Linked DNA regions of Bombyx mori. The protein of the gene in region 1 binds, or shares a complex with, the protein of each later gene. Links are inferred from orthologs where the notes say so. Each region holds a gene or a part of one and is shown on either strand. Other genes may lie near its edges. The genes, in order: transportin-3 and cleavage and polyadenylation specificity factor subunit 6.

What was found.
Region 2: the proteins of transportin-3 (region 1) and cleavage and polyadenylation specificity factor subunit 6 are in contact, whole or in part, in a crystal structure (PDB 6GX9), measured with the Homo sapiens proteins. The link is inferred for Bombyx mori from reciprocal best matches to the Homo sapiens genes TNPO3 and CPSF6. Residues at the interface, in NP_036602.1 of Homo sapiens: Arg620, Asn656, Arg657, Glu660, Arg661, Arg664, Arg667, Phe668, Arg671, Ser698, Cys699, Tyr702, Ile706, Asp709, Asp747, Asp750, Asp751, Arg754, Arg758, Gln761, Cys793, Arg797; in NP_008938.2 of Homo sapiens: Tyr521, Arg522, Glu523, Arg524, Ser525, Glu527, Arg528.

Annotation. Positions count from the first base shown.
Region 1 is NC_085118.1:957,067-969,355, reverse strand, and holds part of transportin-3, read left to right. Parts: coding exon 1-98; intron 99-692; coding exon 693-872; intron 873-1,691; coding exon 1,692-1,855; intron 1,856-6,207; coding exon 6,208-6,424; intron 6,425-8,350; coding exon 8,351-8,506; intron 8,507-8,625; coding exon 8,626-8,870; intron 8,871-8,944; coding exon 8,945-9,265; intron 9,266-11,539; coding exon 11,540-11,727; intron 11,728-11,801; coding exon 11,802-12,045; intron 12,046-12,289. UniProt on the Homo sapiens protein: Importin, which transports target proteins into the nucleus. Specifically mediates the nuclear import of splicing factor serine/arginine (SR) proteins, such as RBM4, SFRS1 and SFRS2, by recognizing phosphorylated SR domains.
Region 2 is NC_085120.1:8,915,844-8,928,132, reverse strand, and holds the end of cleavage and polyadenylation specificity factor subunit 6, read left to right. Parts: intron 1-1,874; coding exon 1,875-2,090; intron 2,091-2,739; coding exon 2,740-2,851; intron 2,852-3,509; coding exon 3,510-3,847; intron 3,848-4,295; coding exon 4,296-4,383; intron 4,384-4,846; coding exon 4,847-4,948; intron 4,949-5,288; coding exon 5,289-5,386; intron 5,387-5,534; coding exon 5,535-5,783; intron 5,784-6,284; coding exon 6,285-6,493; intron 6,494-7,311; coding exon 7,312-7,359; intron 7,360-7,668; coding exon 7,669-7,767; intron 7,768-8,271; coding exon 8,272-8,449; 3' UTR 8,450-9,892; downstream 9,893-12,289. UniProt on the Homo sapiens protein: Component of the cleavage factor Im (CFIm) complex that functions as an activator of the pre-mRNA 3'-end cleavage and polyadenylation processing required for the maturation of pre-mRNA into functional mRNAs.

The DNA.
Region 1 (12,289 bases):
TGATGAAAATAATTGATTGTACTGATAATGGGAATACACATTTTGCAATGAAATCATTAGAATTAGCTTTAGTTTGTGTTGGATATCATGACTATGAGGTAAGAATAATTGTATTCTTAAATGCTTTCTCCAAATTAAAAATCAATAAACAGTAAATAATAATTTCAGTACAATACAAAATTAATACTGAAATGATTTAAAATATTTAATCTCAGATTACTTCTTACCTGAGAATTTTGTTTATATCTATATAAACTGATTTATACTCTCCTTTCTGGTAAATCTCCCAAGATGTATATCTTAAATCCTAAATTTCTACTATTAATAGTGCTTGTAAGCCTTGTAATAGTGATGTAACTATTACAAAGTTAACAGATAGATAATGCAGATGAAGATACCATTTCTCTTGTGGATTAATAAGCTTTTAGATTAATTAAATATAAACAAACACATTCTACTTGATGTTAAGTATGATGTTAATCATATGATTCCCTCAGGCCTACAACTAGAATATTTTATCTTGTCATTTAGACATGTCTAATCTTTAGACATGGGGTCTAAATTTGAAATTATAATGAATGATATTTAAAATATCCATAGCACTTAACTGTATGCTCCACGCACAATTATATTGAATATTAATAACTATAGTATATATAAAAGTACTCAGAATTTTTCTTATTCTTTTTCAGGTGGCAGAAATAACATTTAATTTATGGTACAGATTATCAGAGGAAGTGTACAGGAGAGATCACCAACCATTAACAGATGCATTTAAACCTCATATAGAGAGGTTGATCGAAGCTTTGGCAAGGCATTGTCAATGTGAACCTGACTTGACACAATTGCCCGACGAAACTGATGATTTTTATGTAGGTCTTTTAAAACTTTGTAACAGATAAGTTTGTTGTCTCAGTACTGTGTGTATATTCATAAGGATGCCTGAAATACAATTATGAGGAAGAGTTCAGACAACATGTCTGAAAATCGTCACTGTCAAACCAAAATCTATGTGCAAAAACTCTATTTTGAATTAACGAGTAAAAACATTATCGTATGAAATTTTATATAAAAGTGAATTTTTAAGAACTATAGCAGCAGATTTTGGTTTGACAACGACGAAATGTTAAATGAATGATATTGCTATTAAATTTTTGCAGTGTCAAGGTTATAGGAAATTATAGTTTTTCTGCATTTGGAAATATTTTAATTTAATAAAAAGCAAAAGAAAACTGCTCAAAAAGTATGCTTGTGGTTACCCCCAGCTACCCCAGCTGTGATACTTGCTTTTTTACTGGCGATTATAGTAGACAAGCTCACACTTTCACTTGGACATCTAATGTTATGTAAATGGAGCCCCTAGATGTCAGAACATCAATATTGCCACATATATTGACAAGTAAAGTTGAAGTCTCAATTGTGGTGAATATACTATATATATATATACTACCCTGCAAACTGGAATTCATGATTACTTTGGATAAAAAGCAGGTAGAGTGGTGGTACAATCCTATGCAATGCTTTCAAAACTTATTATGAAAACTTAATAATTGGATATTAAAAAAAAAGTGCCAAGAGTTTACTGTTAGTTAGAATATTTTTATGTAGTAATATTAGTATTAGTATAAGTATAATAATAGTGTATATTGAAGATACCCAGATCAATATTACCCTAATCAATATTGTTACAGGAATTCCGTCAAAAAGTGATGAGTCTGATCAAGGATGTGGTGTTCATAGTGGGATCAAGTTCAGTTTTCAGACAAATGTTTGCTGCATTACAATCTAACATTTCATGGGAACAGACAGAAGCTGCTCTCTTTGTTATGCAATCTGTTGCTAGAAATATCTTACCGTAAGTTTTTAAATTTGCTCTTAAAAGTTAAAGCATGAAATTTCTATTTACATTTCATATTAGAAAACTGAAATATTGTGTTTAAGAAAAACTTATTTCAATATTTACCCCCCTTATCCATAAATTTGTAGTATCTCAAGGGAAGGCAACTTATGCCTTTATAGAAAAAAAAATCTCAGGATCTGTACTCTCTGAAGTCTACAATGGTGTTTTGTACCACTTCCTGAGAACAAAATTTTTTCCTTGCAGGAAATTGTCCGAATTGTGGAAAAGGGGGTAATCAATTGGGGCTAGGTCTGGCGAATATGGAGGATAACTTATAGTTTCTAACTGCAGGTTGTTGCTAAAACTGTTTTTCCGAGCTATGCGAGGTCTTACATTATTTGACGAGCAAGTAGGGGTTATTTCTGTGACAACTTTGTCACCTTTATTCAAAGGTCTTTACATATCCATCCTCTATACAGAAATGTTAATTCTTGAAGCACTCATGCACTTGATTATACCACATAGGAGAAAATCAGTCAGTGTTGTGGTTTAACAAATATTAAACCATGATTTTCGTTTCATGGCTGTGTATTAAAAATCATCTTACACTATTACTTTAAATTAATTATTAGCTAGTCGATTCATTGTCCTTAGTATCAGTCATTTCTACTATTTCATTCTGCAGATAAAAGTTTCCAACGCAATAGTGAACAAAACAAAACTGTGTAGTGCTCTTATTCTTTTTTTATTATTATTGCCCTATTGGCAGACGAGCACACAGCCCACCTGATGGCGAGTGGTTACCGTCGCTCATGGACGTCAGCAATGTCAGGGGCAGAGCCAAGTTGCTGCTTACGAGGGCGGCACTGAAAATTTCGGGAATTAACGAAGTGACACAACATTACTATTTAAAAATGTATTTATTGCTTTTCGAAGTATTCTCCGCGAAATTTGACACATTTTTCCATACGATGGAACCAATCATTGAAGCAACCATTCCATTCGGAAGTTGGGGTCTCCAAAATGGCCGTTTTGTAGGCGTCCACAGCTTCTTCAGGTGATGAAAATCTCTGTCCATGCAATTTATTCTTTATTTTAGGGAAAGTATACAAATCATTAGAGCTTAGGTCGGGGCTGTACGGCGGATGGTCTAATAATTCTATGTTTTCTTGCTCTAAAAACTCTTTTGTTCTGAGCGCGGTGTGAGAACTCGCATTGTCGTGATGGAGGATGATGCGGCGGTTGCAGTTCTCTTTACGGAGTTCAGAAACGACCTGTGGCAAACAAATGCTAGCATACCATTCTGGATTAACCGTTCTTTGTCCCTCAAGAGGAATAGTCGTAGCATAGCCGGTTTTGGAGACAAACGTGGCCACCATTTTTTTTGCAACACTCCGTGAACGAACAATTTTTGTTGGCTTTAACTTTTTTCGAACACCCAAACTCGTGACTGGTTTTTTGTTTCGGGTTCGTACGCGTATATCTAGGATTCGTCACCTGATACAATGTTGTATACAGCATTTGAGGATCCTGCGTGTAATCTTTCGAGAGTTCTGACGCACCAAGTAACGCGAGCCGCTTTTTGCTCTTCACAGAGCGAATGCGGTATCCATCGGGAAAACAACTTTTTTACACCTAATTGTTCATGCAAGATTATTTGTATTTGACTCATGCCAATGTCTAAAGTTGCCTGAATTTCGTGGTATGTCACATGTCGATCTTCCTCAATCAGCTTACGCACAGCATCAATGTTTTCTTGGGTGACTGCAGTTTTTGGACGACCTTGACGGGGATCATCACTGAGCTTGACACGTCCACGTTGAAACTCAGCAAACCAGCGATAAATTGTGGTTTTGGATGGGGCTTCATCACCAAATGCAGAAATCATCCGGTCAACACACTGTTTTTGTGTTAAACCACTTCGAAAGTCATAATAAATCATCGCTCTTGAATTTTCTCGAGTCAATTCCATTTTCTCAACGACTAAACAAGTTTGACAAAACCTCGTTTGACAAAACAAGACCGAGAAACTTTTTTTAAATAAATAAATGGTATTCGATTTTTAAAACCAAGGAGTTTTCAATTAAAAAGATTTTAATATGACAGGAACAGTGGAAATATTCCATTCCCGATACTTTTAGTGCAGCCTAGTACCGTTTAATAGTCTCTGCAAGCCTGGTTTGAAGAAGGAAATGTTGTAGCGCTCGGGAAACCCCGTGGAGGGGAGACCTCATTCTAAAGGCGGATGGTACGAGACAAAAATGATCTCTGGAAATGTGACTTCAGGCAGTATGTATGTACTCTACTCTGGTGGCGGGCGGTTCGATGATAAAAACGAGATGATGAAATCACCTCAAACAATTCCTCAGAGCACCCCGCAAGGAACATACGGTACAAAATAGAGAGGGAACCGAAGTCTCTCCGCAGAACCAGAGGTTCCAAACGATCCGTGAGAATGGGATTATTGACAATCCGAACGGCTCTCTACTGTATGGAGTCAAATGGGAGAAGCTGGTATTGGGAGCCGGCCCAGAGGTGGGAGCAGTACTCCACGCGAGGCTGGACTTGTGCTTTGTAAAGCAAAAGTCTTTGTCCAGGCGTGAAGTACCGCTTCGCTCTGTTGAAGAATCCCAGCATATTTGACGCCAACTTGGCTTTGCCTTCCAAATGACTTGAAAATTGGACATCGCTCGAAATGTCGACCCCAAGTATCCCAATGCCCTTGGAAGGTTGCAGGGATACTCATTGGAATTGCGTCGCCGTTCTACAACGACCGTGATGCTCCACCCATCCAAAAGCTAGCGACCCACTTGCAGAGTCGCGGGGATTCCGTACGATGGTAACTTCGACAGAAGTGCCCTATGCCAGACCCTGTCGAAGGCCTTCGCGATATCAAGGCTCACAGCGAGAGCCTCGCCCTTGCTTTCCAAGGCTTCAGCCCACCTGTGAGTAAAGTATACAAGAAGATCGCCAGCTGAGCGACCATGACGGAAATCGTACTGTCGGTCATTGATCCGCTGGCGATCCTCAAGATACTTCAGGAGTTGCGTATTTATTATTCGCTCCATCACCTTGGAAAGCAAGGAAGTTATCGTGATAGGCCTATAACTCGATGGGTCCGACCGGTCACCCTTCTTGGGCATATGATGAGGATTGATGCTATCAACGGATGTTATTGTTAGTGTAATAACTATGATGATGATGACTACCTATTTTATACCGCAAGATATCCACCCTCATACTATTTGTCGTCCGGGTAGAGCTCATGTATATAGCAGTGTTTTAATTATTTTAGTGCTGAGCTTAAATTCACATATTTCGCGAAAAGTGCTAAAGGTTTGTGAAAAAAAAATACCTTATTAATTAAGTGTGCACAGAATCTTTATTGTTCTCCTCAAATGTAGAGGAATTTTCGTAATTCTTTCTGCTATGTGTAAGGGACATGTTAAACTGCTCAAATGAAACAGTCATATAAGTGTATGTATTTTTTTTCTTTTTTATTGCCTAGATGTGTGGACGAGCTCACAGCCCACCTGGTGTTAAGTGGTTACTGGAACCCATAGACATCTACAACGTAAATGCGCCACACACCTTGAGATATAAGTTCTAAGGTCTCAGTATATTTACAACGGCTGCCCCACCCTTCAAACCGAAACGCATTATTGCTTCACGGCAGAAATAGGCGGGGCGGTGGTAGCTTCGTCCCTTTTAACCTCTAGACCAAAATTTTGTTTGGATCTGGTTGGTATCCCTGGGATGTTTTTACTGCTGTTTTGATGACCAGAGAAGTAAAAAACAACTCAAAATATCCAATAGACTTTTCAATATCAGCGAGTACATTTTTTAATCCGAGAATTTCGAAAAAGTAATAAGTACTATGTATGTAATAATTTTAAATGGTTAGTAATAAATATTATTTACTTAATAGAAACGTTATATGATCGATACCTATTATAAGACAGCGCAATAGTCGCTATTCTGACGCTTCACACTCTATACGCATTCATAGAGTCGGTCTGTCGACGGTTCGCGCTCTAAGGTTTAAACTTCAAATGATCAAAGAAGACCAAACGGTATCTAAATAAATATACATCCCGCTGAGTTTCTCGCCGGATCTTCTCAGTGGGTCGCGTTTCCGATCCGGTGGTAGATGCTGCAAAGCACTGCTCTTGCTAGGGTTAGTGTTAGCAACACTCCGGTTTGAGCCCCGTGAGCTCACCTACACACGTTAGGCTGAAGCTGTAATAGCCTGTCAAGGCTATCAGCATAGATAGGGAAAAAAACTGCTCAATGAAAAATACCTCTACACATTTTATTAAGAAAAACTCTGTGAAGGGTCTTATAAAAATAGATTTGTTGTTTCCCAGGGATGAATACGAATACGTGCCGAAGGTGGTGGAAGCGATACTGTCGATGCCCTCCAGCAGCCACCTGGGCGTGCGCGCCACGTGCATCCTGCTGCTGGGCGAGCTGGCGGACTGGGTGGAGCGGCACGCGGCGTCGTGCCTGGCGCCCTGCGTGGCCATGCTGCTGGCCGCCCTGCCGCAGCCCCGGCTGGCGCTGCCCGCCGCCACCGCGCTGCAGGTAACGTCACCTTACACCAAGGGTTCCCAAACTTATTTTGTCTACTGCCCACTTTGAGAATCAATTATTTTTTCACTTACTTAAAAACCACTAGCGAGAGCTCAGTCGGTGTCTAAGAGTCCTCCTAGATGAAGCTACAAATCGCTTCCCAAGTCTCTACACAACGCCCCCATTTTTTTCTGGGTTTCTTACCGCCCCCCCCCTTTAGGCCTGCAGCGCCCGCGAGTAGGCGTTATCGCCCACTTTGGGAAAGGCTGCCTTACACTGATAGCCTAACACTTAAAAGGACTGTTAGCGACAAGCTATGGAGAATTTTTACAGTATCGTCAATGAACAGGTTTTTTATGTTTTGGTGTCTAATATGTGTATATATCGTAAATATATGTAGGATTAGTAAGAAAGGAACGTATGAAAAGAGTGTGGAATGGAGCGTTAAGATGTGAGTGAGAGAAAACGGAAAGAAAGAGAGAAGAGAATTACAGACAGAATGATAGAGAAAAGTAAGATGGCGAAGACGGTTCAAAAATGAGCAAGGCGTAATAAAAGTGTTAATTAATTTTTAAATTATTATTATAACAGAAGATTTTATTTTGTTGAACAGTGGAAGTTTTATTTTATGCGCTGCGATCCCTATTCTACATATCGACGCTTGAAAGGCAAACGTGACTAAGCGACAATGCGTGAACTTTACAGTAGACTAATAATTTAAAGTTGAAATACCTGAAAAAAAATCTATTTTAACGAATCTAACGGTAGGATTGGAATTATTTTAATAGACCTAGAAATATAATTTTTTTTTTTTGCGCATCCAATATGGTTATTGCCTATCATTTATGTACAAAGCAGTTATTGTCGCATAGTCACGTTTGCCTTTCAAGCGTCGATATATATATACTGGGTGTTAGGAGACTGTTCCCGAAAACGAAAATGTTGTACCTACAAAGTTGTAAAATTTGGGGAGCGCGGTCTCAGCGCCGCGCCGGTGTGCATGTATAAGAAACGTCGCGCCCGGGCGTTCGTTGATCCGAGCGTCAGCTGTTCTTGACTTTGTGTTTCATTGCTGGTTTTTTTTTTAGTAAAGTAATGTATTTTTTATGAAACTATCATTGATTTTAGCTGTACTAACGTGATGGGGCGTAAATAATGCTAATAAAACGTTGTTGTTATTAATTATCAGCCTGGCGCAAGATCAAGGTAAAAACGTAGTGGTTATATACTCTGATAAATATGATCGTCTTACCTGTCAAAACTTAAGTCAGTCGCTCAATAAATGTCGTTGAAACACACGCAGTTTTTCTTTACGGATAGTACGCAAATCAAAGTGAACCCTATTTACATCATCAAACGTTTTAAAATCAGGATCGAATTTTTCTGTCCCATCATCAAAGGTGTCATTAGTACTGTTCTCTGTCTTCGTTTTCGGAAGCGGTCTCCTAACATCAAGTATAATTTAAGTTGAATAATAGGGTTCCCTCTTGTTTTCAAAATATGATTTCAAAAAATTGTAATTTCGAATTACATGTCCGTAGTAGCAGCATGTTCGCCTCAAATAATTTCTCACTGTTACGTACGGTACGAGTAACGCCATCTGTCAACAAATATCAGAAGCGGATATCAAAACAACTAATATCGTCGGGAGTGTCAGAGAAGTGATGTGGTGGCGCGGATAATCTGTTAGTAAAAAGCGAAAACGGATATAGAAAATTGTAGAGAGGACGTGGAGGCAGTCACTAAACAATTCTACTCGAAGCGAACCAGCGAACAGAACACCTGAAGCGAAGTGGAAAAGTGAATTGTGACATTGACGTTTAAGTGTTGTAGTAATTATATTAAGTTTTACTTAGTATTTCGGTGAGCGCGTCCCCACACCATCAGGACTCCCACATTACGTTCCAAGGTCATTTACATTGTGACGTCACGCAACAGAACATCTGCAAGGCGTGTCCCGGCGGAGCGGCCGAGCACATCGGCAAGCTGCTGGGCGCCGTGCAGGCGCTGGACCAGCTCGCCGCGCCGCCGCCCGCCGCCGCCGCGCTCATGCGGGCCGTCGCGCCCGTCGTGGCCAGCCTGCCGCCCGACCAGGTACCCGCACATACCTTACCGCACGGACTTATTGTACTCATTAATATGGTTATATCCTTAATATTGCTAATAACTCAGGTTGTCAATCAGAATACAAAGAATACAATAATTGTTTTCAGATGAGCGCAGCCCTCTGCGAAGCGTCAGCCCCCCAACTGGAGGGTCTCCGTCGGCTGTGCTCGGCTCGGCAGCCCATCAAGCGCGGCACCACGTCGGACCCCGTGCTGTACCTCGACCGGCTCGCCGCGCTGTACCGCGACCTCACGCTCTCCGCCGACCTCAAAAACGTCGCGGCGTCCGAAACGCACCCGTGTCTGCCGGCGCTCACCGAGGCGTGGCCCGTGCTCATCGACGTCATGGACAAGTGAGTAGGCGGCGCGTGGTGCGGGCGCGTGGTGCAGGCGCGTGGGGCCCGCACTGACCGCGTGCACCCTGCAGGTTCGGCGGCGAGGAGCGCGTGATGGAGCGCGTGTGCCGGGCGGCGCGGTTCGGCGTGCGGGCGGCGCGCGGGGCGGGCGCGGCGCTGCTGCCGGCGCTGTGCGGCGCGCTGGCGCAGCTGTACCCGCGGCACGCGCACTCGTGCGTGCTGTACCTGTGCTCCGTGCTGGTGGACGAGCTGGCGGCGCGGCCGGGCTGCGCGGCGGCGCTGGCGGGGCTGCTGGCCGACCTGCTGCCGCCAGCCTTCGCGCTGCTGCAGCGGGACCACGGCTTCAGGGACCACCCCGACACCGTCGACGATCTGTTCCGGCTCTTCATCAGGTCAGAGAGCGCCTCATTATTGTTACTTCAAGTATAATATCAAGTCCACAACACGCGAAATATCTAAATACTACGAATAATAAAACTATGGAACAGTAACTCGCCTTCAATTCCAATTTAGATTATGGTTCCATTTACGCACACAAATAAAAGCAAATACAACGAACACTCATACTCTTTCATAAACAAACGCTTGCACGCGATTGGTCGCGCCAACGTGACGGTTTGCAAGCGCACCCTTATGACGATGACATTATGCAGTAATAATGAATTTATGAAATATTTTCTCATTTTTTTATTAAATGACTTTATTACTGCAATAGAAATAAATGCAGTTTATAAGTCAGTACATGAGTTAAAAATATGATGATTAATCTTAAAATCAATACTACTACTACTACTAGTATACAAGGTGTAAGGCACACGAATACCACTTTCAAGTATGTACATGGCCTCTTTTTGAAAGTGTCCAATTTATTTAATTTCTTTCCAAGCGTACTATCACAAGCGGCTATTCATGTTTTACGTTGAATTTCATTTGTAGGAAATCTTTAAGAAATCTGCAGTAATCAAATCTTTTGTTATCGCTGCATAATGTCATACTCGTTACTTAAATAAAACTTATGTTTTATCCGAGCAGTATAAAGAACTACTACTGCATAGAAAAAGTAATCGTGCATATTGCATAACATTGTCCATCACCAATAGTATGAAATTTTACGATGTTTGTATACTTACTTATGAAAGCTAATTCAGCTGTTTTTCATATCTGTATGGCTTTTACACCATTTCACGACACACGATTGCATACTTACAAAATTAAAAAGCGCAAAATAATAATTATCTGGTCAACCGAAAACTGAGGCAACACGACCGCACGACACGAGTGCCACAGCGAACTGGCGCGCCGTTCTGTAGCTATTTTAAGCCCCGCCCTCCGCAGTAGCTATTTACGTGGAACCATTTTTGAAGTGTAATTACGTAATTATTAATAATTAATAATTACGTAATTATTAATTATTTATTAATTAAAATAATTAATAAATAATTCAAACGAGGCTTGTGGAGAGTATTAAGCGCTAGGCAGCGGCTTGGCTCTGCCCCTGGCATTGCTGAAGTCCATGGGCGACGGTAACCACTCACCATCAGGTGGGCCGTATGCTCGTCTGCCTACAAGGGCAATAAAAAAAAAAAAAAAAAAAAAAACTTTTTGTTGTAATGTTAAATACATTTTGTATGTTTTAATTAGAAAATGTTTTGGATAATAGAACACTTTGTCAAAACATATAACCAATATTTGGTATAATTTATCAAAGATTCTTTTGTAACCTTCCATTCCCCTGAGATCATATAAAAGTGTATCTTGTACTTGTATATTGGGGGAGCTCCCGGAAAATATTCTATTTTTAAAAGTATATTTTTCTGTGGCCCAGCCACTTTTATACTTTCCAGCTTATGTAGTAAGTTTAATTAGCCCGCAAAGGTATGTAATTTGGACAGCCTTGTTCTAGCAAACTATCAAATATCTGCATTAACAATGTTGCCGCTTTTTTAAACTCAGTTTCATATACACCTCGTGGCTAGTTTGGGGTTCGTAGCTAGGGTTGTTCCCCTGGTATATGTCAAAATCCAATAAAAGTCTACGTCCACTCAAGTTGTCTGCGTGGCCGTCCGCACTTCTGCCAAACCTTCACCGGAATATTCAGCAGGTTCTGCACTTCGATACAAATCGCTTCGACATTGCAGCTTTCATCATCATTATCCAAGAAACCTATCAAATCTTTATATTCATACCCCTAAAAATAAAGGAACACAAAAGTTTTTTAGAAAATTAATATTTTTATTATGAATATACTGAAGAATTTTTTTATAGTTACAGCTATAAAACACCCACTACATAAAAAAATACAAAGTTTTAATTTCATAGAGCACTTTAGTCTTTCGAGAGTGAAATAAAATGGAAATAATGGGTTACTTAAACCTTAAATGAATTTTTACTTGTTATTCAATTTAGTCGACCATTCTAAATCAACAAAATCACATGTGTTTGGTTCCATTGTTAATAAAAAACTAATTAAATATTCCAAGTCATATCATGCATAGCCACGTGTTAGTCGTGATCAATAATACGGCGCTAATGAATTAATATGAACTTTAATAAAGTTTAGTTAGTTCACTGGTTGAAATAGTTGTTTTGGGTCATTGAAGGACTAAATGTATAATAGCCTAGGAAATGTTGGTGAGTGAGCCCTCGCGGGCGCGGTCTGCGCGCAGGTTCCTGCAGCGCATGCCGGTGCAGCTGCTGTCGTGCGGCGTGATGGGCAGCATCCTGCAGTGCGCGTGCTCCGCCGCCGCGCTCGACCACCGCGACGCCAGCGCCTCGCTCATGAACTTCCTCGCGGACTTCGCGCGCCTCGCCAACACCGCGCACCCCGACACCGCCGAGGCGCAGCACGCCAAGGGTACCGCACTCTCCGCCGCCGCCGCGCTCCCCGCCCCCCGCCCGCCACACTACTGACCGTGCCGTCTGCTGCAGCGCTGGCCGAGGAGCTGGTGGTGACGTACGGCGGCGCGCTGACGGCGGCCGTGCTGGAGGCCAGCGTGCTGCACCTGCACCGCGGGCTCGTGCCCGGCGCCGCCGACGTGCTGCTGGAGCTGGCGCGCGCGGAGAGACGGCACGGCGCCGCGTGGCTGGGGGCCGCCGTGCGCCAGCTGCCCGCGCGCCACACCGCCGCCGCCACGCTGCTGCAGGCGCAGCACTTCCACAACACGGCGCGCAGGTCGGTCCCCCGCAGCGCGTTCGTGCCAAACTTCTTTAGAATCGTTGTGATTATAAACTCGATGTAACGAAATGAAACGAAACGAAACGAAAAAATAAGTGTGCCGCGATTGGCTTGACGAAGCGACTGCGAGCGGCGCCGACAAATCACGAAGCGCTCCACATAGTGACCTTTGCGATTATTTTTATTTCTTATAAATTTCAAAAGTTTCACTTCTACCGTGTGTGACTTCAGTGATTTGCAC
Region 2 (12,289 bases), on another chromosome or scaffold:
TTTTAGTAATGCAATTTATTGTAAATTATTTCATGTGGAAAGCATTACATAACCTTTCATAATACTGCTAAGTTATATTATATTCTTCCGTTTGTTTTGTACTTCTACTTTTGAGGCTATCTGTTGTCGAGATAGAGCCAAATCGATAGCAAAAATATACAGACAGTGAGTTTTACAATAAAATCATATATATCATCATATCATAAAGATACTAGCAGTAGAAAATGAATATCATCAAAATCGAGTTGGCGTAGTTTACGTAGATGGATTCTGTTTGTGTACTTAAACAACACAGATTGCAGTTATATTTTGCATACAAGTAGATGTGGGTTTGGTAAGATTATGTGAGAGATGAAGTATGAAAGGATGTATAATCTTATTTATAATAGTTGATGTACTAATTAATATAAATACCATTTTTGCCCATTAACTACACTACAGTAACTTGCTTAATTATGATGTAACATGTCTGCAGCAACAAGTTTTGAAACCGTTTGTGTGATTTTGTACGCACACAAAATTTTGATATATCGTTCCGAAAATGTTGTTGTGTTTATTTATTGAATATCCATAAATTTGCGGTTTAGTCAGAAAAACAGTTACCTGTATCAGATTATTGATAGGCTAAATTAGCAAAAAAAAAAATAAACATTACATAGTCATCACATAGTACATAATAGAATCAGTAGTGTAAAATTGGCTATTTGTCCCGCTTGTGTTTGATCAATAAATTGGGATATTGAGCTGAAAGTTTTCACTTTCTGACATCCCCATCTGTAATGATTTGTTTATTCTTTTATCAGGTTTGTTACGAGGTAAGGTAATTGATTGTATTGTATTTATAGTTTTTTAGTAATTATTTTAACATATGTTTTGCTATTTTTTTGCATACATCTGAAGATTTTCGATACTTATGTTGAAGAGATATCAACATTCTTGTGCGAAATGTAGAGGCGAACAATAAATGTTGTAATACGTAACAAATAAAATAAATAAATTATATAACTCAAACAAATCGCCTGGTCCAAACTGTTTCGTCTGCTCTGTGCAAATTAATCTAAACAATAATGTAGGTAGTTTACAAAAAAACCCCGCGACATCAACTGATTGTGTAAATTATAAATAATATTTAACACTTTTTGTATGTGTGTATTTTAGAGTATTTATTTTCTTTGTAAAGGATACTTTCAACAGCTGTCGTTTCAAGTTTTGTTAATTGCATTAAATCTATCTAGTATCAGTGCATGGATACGATAATTTTGTTATCTGATTTGCACACAAAAAAAATCAGTGTGTGTTTAGCCACATGTTAAATTTATTTCTTCATTTGACTTGTGAAATACCATTTACAAGTAATGTGTTCATGTTATAATTACCTTGTTAATGGTTGTTTTCCTTCTAGTTTTTTTTCAGTATGTAACCGTTGGAGTATTCGGAGTTGTAAAAAAACTTTATAATGCAAATTATCTGTGATAAAGAAATAAATAGTATGATCACAAAAAAGCTCTTTCTTTTCACCCAAAGCTCTATTCCGGCATATTTAATGATTTAGTTGATGAAAAGTACATTGTAGATTTTTAATTCGCGTCAAAAGGTACACAAAAGTATTCAAAATATTTTTATTCACGTTAATCATCGGATCTACTATGAGACGTAAGCGCGGTGTTGTAAATTCACTTTCTCGATAATTCGGTGTTAATGAAAAAAATCTTAATACGGCGTGTGAACGGCGCTTTAAATTGAACCTTACCCCGACCGATTTTGTTTAAGTGGCATGTAAGTGGACTGGATGGCATAATAAATGATGTATGTGACTTGTGTGTATTGGCTGCCTGTTTGCAGCGTGGCTGAGTTTTGTGTAAAACCTTTTCCAGTGGGCAACGGACCAAGATATTGCGAACGCGATCTCGGATGTCGGTGTCTCCGATTTTCAAGATGTGAAGTTCTTTGAGAACAGAGCCAATGGTCAGTCCAAAGGATTCTGCGTTATATCTCTCGGTTCAGATCAATCAGTCAGGATGGTGATGGAACGTCTTTCTAAGAAGGAGATACACGGGCAACATCCAGTAGTTACATTGCCTACTAAACAGGTAAGGTCAATGTTAACTGATACAAAATATGAGCATAATAAGTAGACACTAGATAGATAGTTTATGATTAGGTACTTATGAATTGCACAAATAGTTTCATGATGAATATACCTAGTAACCTTTCCTAGTAATAGATTAGTTTCTGCAAATATGGTTTCGGGCAATGCGTGAGTCGCGATGAGGTGTTGAAACGTGGTTTAAATTAAAACAAAAAAGGAATTTACATTTTTTTTAATAATGGATCTAAAGTGGTTAATAAACCTTTTGCAACATTAAAGCTTTCAATAATGTCCGAATCGTTTTCACGGAGGCTACTCATTGAAAAAATCCGAAAAGAAAATTTTGAATCTTAAACCACCGCGACTTTGTAATGGTTATGGAGATTGGCTTCTGTTAATTGATTTGCAAACCATTTGGTAAAATTGAGGAGTAAATAGCTTCGGCCATATGATAGCTATTGACTTCCACATGGTTTTGAGATGGTGGACAGTAGTATCTAAGTTAGTATTTGTAATTTTTTTGTCCATCGGTAATTAATATAGTCTACCGATATTAATCAAAATAATATAATAGTTTTAGCAGCGTAGGAAATATATAGATGAATTAATTCGGTTCAGTGAAAGTAAGTAAACTTTGATAATGTCTACAGGCGTTGAATCAGTTTGAAAGTCAGTCAAAGACCAGGTCGACGCCTCCTGGTCCCAATAATCCTGGAATGAGAGGACCCCATCCAGGCGGGCCGCCTGGTCCTCATCCCGGAGGTACATATTGTAATCGTATACTAATACGTCTCGATAAAATATTCGAAACATCAAAAGTAGAAACATATCATTATTATTCTAAAGTCGTCGTGGCCTAAAGGATAAGATGTCCGGTGCATTCGGAGCATTACTCTAGCGATACACCGGTGTTCGAATCCCGCAGGTGGGTACCAATTTTCCTAATGAAATATGTACTTAACAAATGTTCACGATAGACTTCCACGGGGAAGGAATAACATAGTGTAATGAAAATCAAACTCGCAAAATTATAATTTGCGTAATTACTGGTGGTAGGTAGGATCTCTTGTGAGTCCGCACGGGTAGGTACCACCACCTCGCCTATTTCTGCCGTGAAGCAGTAATGCGTTTCGGCTTGAAGGGTGGAGCAGCTTTATAACTATACCTTAGACCTTAGAACTTATATCTCAAGGTGGGTGGCGCATTTACGCTGTAAATGTCGATGGGCTCCAGTAACCACTTAATACCAGGTGGGTTGTGAGCTCGTCCACCCATCTAAGCAATTTTTTTTTTTTATTGACTAATGGGTAGTATATGGTAACTAAAGGGGTGATACCCCTGATCACAGCGCTTATAACGACGCCCAAATATGGTGCACTTGAAAACATAAAATCGTAAGAACCCGTTACTATATTCGCAGAATTTTTTGGTGGGGGACCGAACGGTCCAGGTGGGGGCGGACCTCGTATGATGCTCCCAGGTCCGGGTCCGCACCAGCTTCGTGGGCCGCCGCCGCACCACATGGGCCCACACCAGGGCGGGCCGCATCCCATGCAACATCAGCCGCAGCCGCACCAGGCCCCGCCACACCGGCCCCCTATGCAGTTTGCGGGCCCTCCGCAGATGCAACGCGCGCCGGGCCCGCGTCCGCCGCCTCCCGACTGGGCTGCGCGAGCGCCGCATCCTATGTCTCAGCCCGCGCCTCATTATGGACCCCCCCATCATGGAATGCCGCATCAGATGCCACCACCTCATCCTGTATGTATATACTGCACACGTGATTACTATTAGGCATCCACATCATCCAAATTTATTATTTTGTATAGAATAAATGCAATAAATTTAGATGCCGTCAGATAGCCGACGAAATTCATGTAAGGAGGTCTTTAAACATACTTTTTCGAATACTAACTGAGCATTGGTAATAATATGACGGCGTCGTCTCCTTAGGCCTTCTTAATGAACTCTTGATTGATACGAATTTCATCCTCATGTGTACAGCTCATCTGCTCTCGTATTACGTGATCGTAAAGAATTATTTTACGGCTCATATTGGGGGAACTCGCCCCTTGAATATTCGCTTTGCAAAAATTTCAGATTCTGGAACAGGGGGCTCGCAAATTGCTGATGTAACATACAAGCCTATGATTATAATTATTCTTTATAGTAATAATGAAACGTTATAATTAAAATAATGAATGTTCAGCAACCCGGCGCACAGGGCATGCCGCCTCCGCACCAGTTGCCGCCGCACCAGCCGCCGCGGGGACCGGCGCCCATGCCGCAGCATCCTGGTCAGTCATATATTAGCACAGAAACTGACTTTTAGACTGAGGGTAGGACCTCTTACGAGTTCGCACAGCTAGTTACTACTACCCTGCCTATCTCTGCAGTGAAGCAGAACTTGTATCTCAAGGTGGGTGGCTACATTTACTTTGTAGATGTCTATGGGCTCCGGTAACCACTTAACATAAGATGGGCTGTGAGCTCGTCTACCCATCTATGCAATAAAAAAATATATATACAGAAACGAATGCATTCATGTTCGTTTTTCATACGTACCATGAGTTCACAATCTGAATATCGTGGTTCACGGTAATATTTGAGATACAAATCTCGATAACGTTAAAATAATAGTCTCGCTCTTTAAACTGGGCGCGTCATTTGAGAAAAGTCGTCATTTATAATAATTATTGTTTCGTTTTTATTAAATTACAAATTTTAATTAAGTAATCAATTTTCATTAATGTTAAACAGTAATACCTGGAGCTCCAGCACCACACGTGAATCCTGCGTTCTTCAACCAGCAGCCACCGTCGCAGCCGCCGCCAATGCAGGCCCCGCAACCTGGACCACCCGGTAAGTTATAGCTTTTACATAAATAAATGATGGTATCTAAAAATCAAAATTTCCAGTATAACGCTCAAACCATCGTCTCATGTTTTGACATCACTATCATCGGTGATGACTCTCTTAATCAATTGCATATAAGAATACGAATCGAATATATTACGTAAATTTGGATGAAAACGTTAAGATCTTTACAGAGGTTAAATTCGACAGATACATCTTTGTGATCAGCGAACAAAAACAAGTTGCCTTATCAAGTAATATGATAATTGCCCAAATACTTACCTACCCTTAAATTCAAGATAGTTGCGATCAAGTAGTTAAAAGGATTAATCTTTTGTGTGAACAGGTCCAGGTGCTCCGTACGGTCATCCAGCCCATGGAGCACCACCTCCAGCACAAGGGCCTCCACCCGGGTCTAGACAACCGTACGGTCGGCCACCACAGGTAATTGACTTCATTATTTATGAATTGAACTCTATATTCTGCAATCTATGAAACAAAATAAGGTCGTTATTTTCTATAGTGCTACAGAGTAGCATAAACATTAAAATAATGTTGTCGGGCCTCTTAGTATCACGTAATAATGTTACAGAGCTATCCGCCTCAAGCGGATCCGGCTCGTCCCCCGCACCACCCGGCACCCATGGTCCCACAGCACGCGGCCTCCCTGGCGCCCCCCATGCCGGTCATCAGCGAGGCCGAGTTCGAAGAGGTGATGAGCAGGAACCGCACCGTCTCCTCCAGTGCCATTGCTCGGGCTGTCAGTGACGCTGCCGCTGGCGAGTACGCCTCCGCCATCGAGACGCTCGTTACCGCCATATCACTCATTAAACAGAGCAAGGTATTCATCGTTGTATTTTTATTAGCACTAGTGGTCCCTGCAGTAGTCGAAATTCGACTATGATTAATTTAAATTAGAAGTTTGAACATTCTTATTGGTTCTACCACCATAGATTATACACTTATTATTTGAGAGAGTGAAACTGTAGACAAATAATATTAAAGACAAACAATACTAATCTATTCTCAATTTGACTATGGACTTTAAAGAATAACAAAAGTTTCACAATTGACAATTTACAAAGAGTATATTTATACGTATGTGTTGTGTCAAATACACGGTAGTGTGTGTAATGTTTTCTTTGTTGATTTAATGCATTTTTTTTTAAATATTAGCACTCTGCACTTCTTCTCTATATTCTCTATAAGTGTGGGAAAGTTCATACTCCTACGTCCGGGCAATTTTCGTTAAAAGGGATACAATGTTTTTGCTTCACGTATTAAATATGTAGATTATGCATAAAGGAAAATGAAATGAACGAATGTAAATTGAATATTTCAGGTGGCGCAAGACGACCGCTGCAAGATTCTGATCTCGTCGCTGCAAGACACGCTGCACGGCGTCGAGACGAAGTCTTACAGCAGCGGCGAGCGGTCCCGCCGCTCCCGGTCCCGCGAGCGCGAGCCGCGACACCACCGCGCCCCGCGCCGCCGCGACCGCTCTTCCAGCCGCTACCGGGACCGCAGCCGCGACCGAGAGGATAGGGACAGGTACGCGCCGTTAATTATTTGGAACGTTTCTTGTATTATAATAACGGCAATTTTTTAAATGGATTTTATGACCTGGTAACTAAGACCTTTAAGTCATATCTTATTATAATTTATATTCTTATTTTTATGAAAAATGATAATATGGAGTGAAATTAAATGAATATTATTAATTAGAGACATTAATCAGCTGGGATGAAATTAAATGAAATAAGATGATATGGGATGAAATATAATCTCAGTAAAATGGTGGTCATTTTCTGAGATTTTTTCAGTGGACTTTTTGGAGGATCCCGAGAAGTTACGTCAAGCGCCTTTGTTTCATTTTCTCACATTTGTGCACTTTCACAGACATTAAACAGTTAATAAACCACCGTTATTACACATTTAAACCTGACGAAACACTAAACAGACAAAATAAAACAAAAACACAACTTCATTAACAAAAAGTCCCAATAATGGCAGTGTTCCTCTTCAAACCGGAACGTGCCAGATATTGACGGGATACTGATACTCTGCCAAAGACGGTCACCATACTCTCTATCTCCCAATAATGATAACCACAACTGTAAGCTTAAATTAATTGGACGTCATGATTTTTCCTTACCACAAACTAACTAACATAAACATTTAAAATTTTTAATGGAAAATAAAATAATAATTTACAAACGCATGTGCGTAAGTTCGTAAATTTATATAAAGTAGTACTTTTATCGAGAATTAAAATGATTTTTGAACGAATTCCGTGTTTTAAAAAAATGCTTTACAATGAGGTCAAAACCGGGGAACCCGTAAAGTTGAATGCAAGCAATTTATTGCAGGTACAGGGAACGGTCGAGAGATCGCGACCGCGAACGTGAACGTGACGCGTAAGTGCCTTGATTTAAATTGAAAATAACACCAACCTGAAATGGTAAACGTAATGAGTGGTCAGTTTTATATTTATTTGAGTGTGCTATGTACTAATATTGAATATATGTATATCTCATTATTGACGTTTCGATAACTAATCTTTACCGAATTCAATTGATTAATCATCACTAGTTTCTTTTAAAGCTCACGTTTCCATTACGTTTACTGTAATTTAGAACAAGGCAGTTATGTCATCACTACACATCTAACTCGATTACTTATGTGTAAACAGATGGTAAGTGAAAATCAATGTTGTTTTATTTCAGGTATTACAGGGATTACCGTGAGAGGGAGCGCGAGAGGTCTCGCTCGAGGGATCGCGATCGTGCTGATCATTACAACAGGGGACACAGTCGTGAGGAGAGGTGTGATTTTATCTTTGTAAAAATTCACCATCTGTATTTGGGTCTAATAATACAATTTGCATTGTATATGTAGGGAGACAGAAATCTGTTTCTTTCTGTGTTTCTGTTTTAAGGCTTATATTTTGAAGCTCCGTCTCGAAAAAAACCAAAATAATATACACCATTCTTAGTTTTTAGTTTTCTTTTGCCTGTTTTATGTTGATAAGTTGCAAGATTTTCTTTTATTTACGAGCAGCAGACACTGATCAACGACGTAACAAATTGCGTAATTCTCGATTAGTTCAGTTTTTACACTTAGAACAGAGCTCTTAACTATCAAAAATTGATTGAATCTATTTAATTTTTTAATTTAATTAGAAGTTAGAGATCAATAATCAATATCTCAAAGCTTGACTGACCCGTTTGGTAATATCAGATTACTGCAAAGAGAGAGAATTTTTTTCTGTAAAAATTCAAATTGTCTTTAAGTTTGTCCGTCTAACAGTGTTTTTTTGCTGGGAACAGGGCACGTAAATCTCCAGCTGAAGCGACAGCAGAGGGAACCACAGCCGAGGCCGGGTCGAAGAGCCGCAGCACTGGAGCGCCGTACTACGACGAGCGGTACAGGGAGAGACGCGACAGAGACCCGCCGCCCGCGGATCGAGATCGCGACCGAGACCATCGCAGGGACGCTAGACACTAGACACTAAAAGAACCATTGAGTGAACTACTCAATATCGCCACATCAGCTGACCAATTAGGGCATCCAAGATTTTTTGCTATCGGGCCGGCGTCACGTTGAAGTGGAATTAAATTGACACTTGACAGTTCTGACAGATGTTTGCGCGGAAAAGGGATTTACAAAAATGGCGCGAAAGTTTCTGATTCTAAATTCAAACAAACGATTGATTTAATTTAAAATAATTCGTTTGAGCAACGTTCATGCGAATCAAAATTCATTGACTGCGCGGTTATATGTGGTGACACCGACATCGTTCCGTCAGCCTAGTCTAATCAAGTGACTTTTGGTGTAAACTAATATTGTGTGGTGCGTCAGAGGCGACGACCGCGTGCGTGAACTACTGATACTGCCACGAAAATAGCTTCAAATTGTTGATCAAAAGATGGTGGATCGAGTTGATCTGCTGCTAGGGCGGTTTAGTGTAATCGAGAGCCTGATTCGACAGATTAGATATTCATTATTTTCAACTTCATATGAAACAAACATCTCAAATTAAAATCGGTCTCATACATGAAACATTAAATAGTGATGGTAAAAATGATATCCATTCACACTGATGATGAAAATAATGTTATGTTAATTTAGATGACAAAATAGTTTATTACAAATTAGTAAGTATTATCCCGGAATGCCCATTTGTCTCAGATATATCGTTTGTTTTACGAAAATTGGTTACACTCTTGGTACAAATCACTGTACTTATTACAGTCAAGTGTGACTGTAGAAAATTAACGTAAGACCTATCCAACGCCGACAAGTCGTTTTCAAACATCTAATAATGTATTGTATTCATTCACGCATGGTATATTTATAAGGTTAAAAAAGGATGATAAACTTTATATTTAAAACAGAGAAACATTTTATCAGAACACGACCAATAGCAAATTATCCAAAATTAGAAAAGTGCGCTAGTAATGAAAATTTTATTGAAAAAGGTCAAAAATATCCTAGTATTATCTTGAATACTTTTGATACAATTGATAAAGATTAAAATATAAATAGTTTTTATTTCAAATAAACATTTTACACAATTATATCGATAAAAGCAGTTTTCAATCTAAAGCCATGAAACATCTGAAAATTAAGATTGTGACTGATTTTATAATTTTTAGTATCAATATTACTCATGTTGATTGTTAATGGATTGAATTAGTCCAACAAGAACCTTAAAACCAAATATGTTTAAAATTCAATTTTGCTGTTTGTCACAACATTCCATGGTCTAAATGTTTGCGAATTGTTTTAAACTTTCATTCGTGGTTTTTTTTTGTATTTTCCTATTTTGTAGTAGTCTAAACGTAAGTATTAGGTTAAGTTCAAACAATTTATGGATTGTTCCATACAAACTAGACGTGACCGTAAATTAAGATGTAATTTACAATAAAATAAATTTATTTCAAAACATTTTCATTATTTATTAAATTAATATATAAGTTACCAAACTGTGAGTGGGTACCTACTGGCTGCTGTTTCGATTGTAGAAAGTCGATGTCGATTTATTGTAGAAAGAAAAATTTTGGGCCGTTGAAAGGACGGCAAGTGTAAAATTTTTGGCCATCGGCACGTTTAGAACTGGTCAAATTTCCAACCAACGAATTAATTAGGTAATGCATATCCTACAGGTGAATTTCTACTGTCATTATCATCCTCTTAGGTCTTGTGTATGTCAGAACCAGACGGTGTCCTACACGGCTTTGGCACGTCGATTAATATTGGCAAGATTCATAAACTTTGATATGAGAAGTAAGTTTGTAGGAATCTAGTATAACTAAATCCACAGAGTCGCTTCGGTCGCGTTTGAGAAATTTAACACAGTCGTAGAGGGATCATACGGGCTAAATCCAAGTTATAAAGTGAGAAGTGCTATTACTATTCGGGAGTTGAATATCTACATTTTATTAAATAAGTAATCCTTTAGTATCTAGTGGGTTTCAATTAGTTACGTTACCGGAATGTGAAGAGTACATTTTTATTAAAAAGTTTCGAAGATTCATTGATTTTTTTTAATATAGTAATAATTAAATGGTCAGGGATCTAATCGAAATACTGTCCATCTGTCACGCATGTAGATGCAATACATGAATATAGACTGATGTTTCTATTAGAGATTCTGGTGTCATCTACCTTTTACTTACGCGGATAGGACACCGTTGATAACACTTCTACTTAGCAAAGAAATGTTTAATACATATTGTTTAAAATAAGACATTAATTACCTAGTCTATACGTGTAATGATTGTTATCCTGTACCAATTTTCAGCCTATTGAGTTTCTCGCCAGATCTCAGTGGGTTGCGTTTCCGATCCGGTGGTAGATTCTGCGAAGCACTGCTCTTGCTAGGGTTCGTGTTAGCAACCTCATCAGAGTTGAGCCCCGTGAGCTCACCTACTAGTTAAGGCGACGCTGATATAGCCTATCAGCTTAGGCAGGAAAAAAAAAAACAGTTTTCCGTTAATATTATATTATACAATCAAAATATTTTTTCATATTAAGTAATATCGTTTTATAAAAACAGATGTGGAATGAAAAGCGAGGTTTTCTTTTCAGAACTTAATGTTCTGGTTTCTGTTCAGTTGTCCGTGATAGAACAGAAATACGCTGAGTCGATATTATTGCAATATTTTTTTAGACTTTTAACGAAGGTGATGCTGAAAGTTTTTAGAATTTCATAAAACTTTAGAAAGCGGCATCTGTTTATTCATTTATTTTTTCACAATAATTCCATACAGAATTTAAGCATCTCGCACTCGACCTTGGAGAGAGGAAGAAAGCGAGCTAGGTTGTTTCTCTTATGCACATTCTGTTTACGGGCGTCGGCCACTAGTTATTATTATTATGGCTTGTTATTAATTCCTCATTGTTCCTGTAAATGGCAGTAACATACTATCACATATTTTATTTTTAAAGATGTATTTAAAAAAGACGTTTAGCAAATCGACCGGTACGTCACTCTCGCGGCCGTATGCCCGCTCGCTATACATAGTTAGTATTTGTGTCCGTCTTTTAACACAGTGTATAATCTATGTTCCGGGCGCTTCCGTTTTGAGTGTGAATAGCGTGCGCCCGCGTCTGTATGTAATTAACGTTTTAAAATTGAAAATTGTTGGTGTTTAAGAAAGATTAGAATTCGAAACTCGATACTGGTGACTAACCCATAGTTTTATTGAACAAAAATACCCCTGAGATCTACCCCTCACTATAGACGTTATTTTTCTGAAGAAGAAGTCTTTTCTCTTATACATAGCATCACAGCAGAATTATCTGATCAAATGTAAGTAAAGAACAAAAAATATTACATTTTACAACAAAAATACCCCCTGATCTATCCCTCACTATAGACGTTATTATTCTGAAGAAGAAGTATTTTCTCTTATACATCAGCATCACAGCAGAATTATCTGATCAAATCTAAGTAAAGAAAAAAAAAATTACATTTTACAACAAAAATAAAAATAAAACACTAGAAAATAGAACAAAGACATTCTATTCATTTCGTAGTTCTTATGAATCGAAAAGATGGAGCTGTTATTAAACACGACTAAGAAACGATCCAATGAACTGGGTAGCGGAATCTTTCGACACGGATATCTTTAATTATAGCACAGCTTAATTATTTACCGTAATCAATACGATACTCTATGCACATTAATCCACATTAGCGGACTTAATACCTACTGCATTCTAATTAGTCAACTAAATATGCATTGGTTATCACTTTATTTTCTTATTAAAAGGATAACGTCCTATTGTGAGAGATCTATAATTTCCAAAGATACTAATAAATATTTAATTTACTTTTTA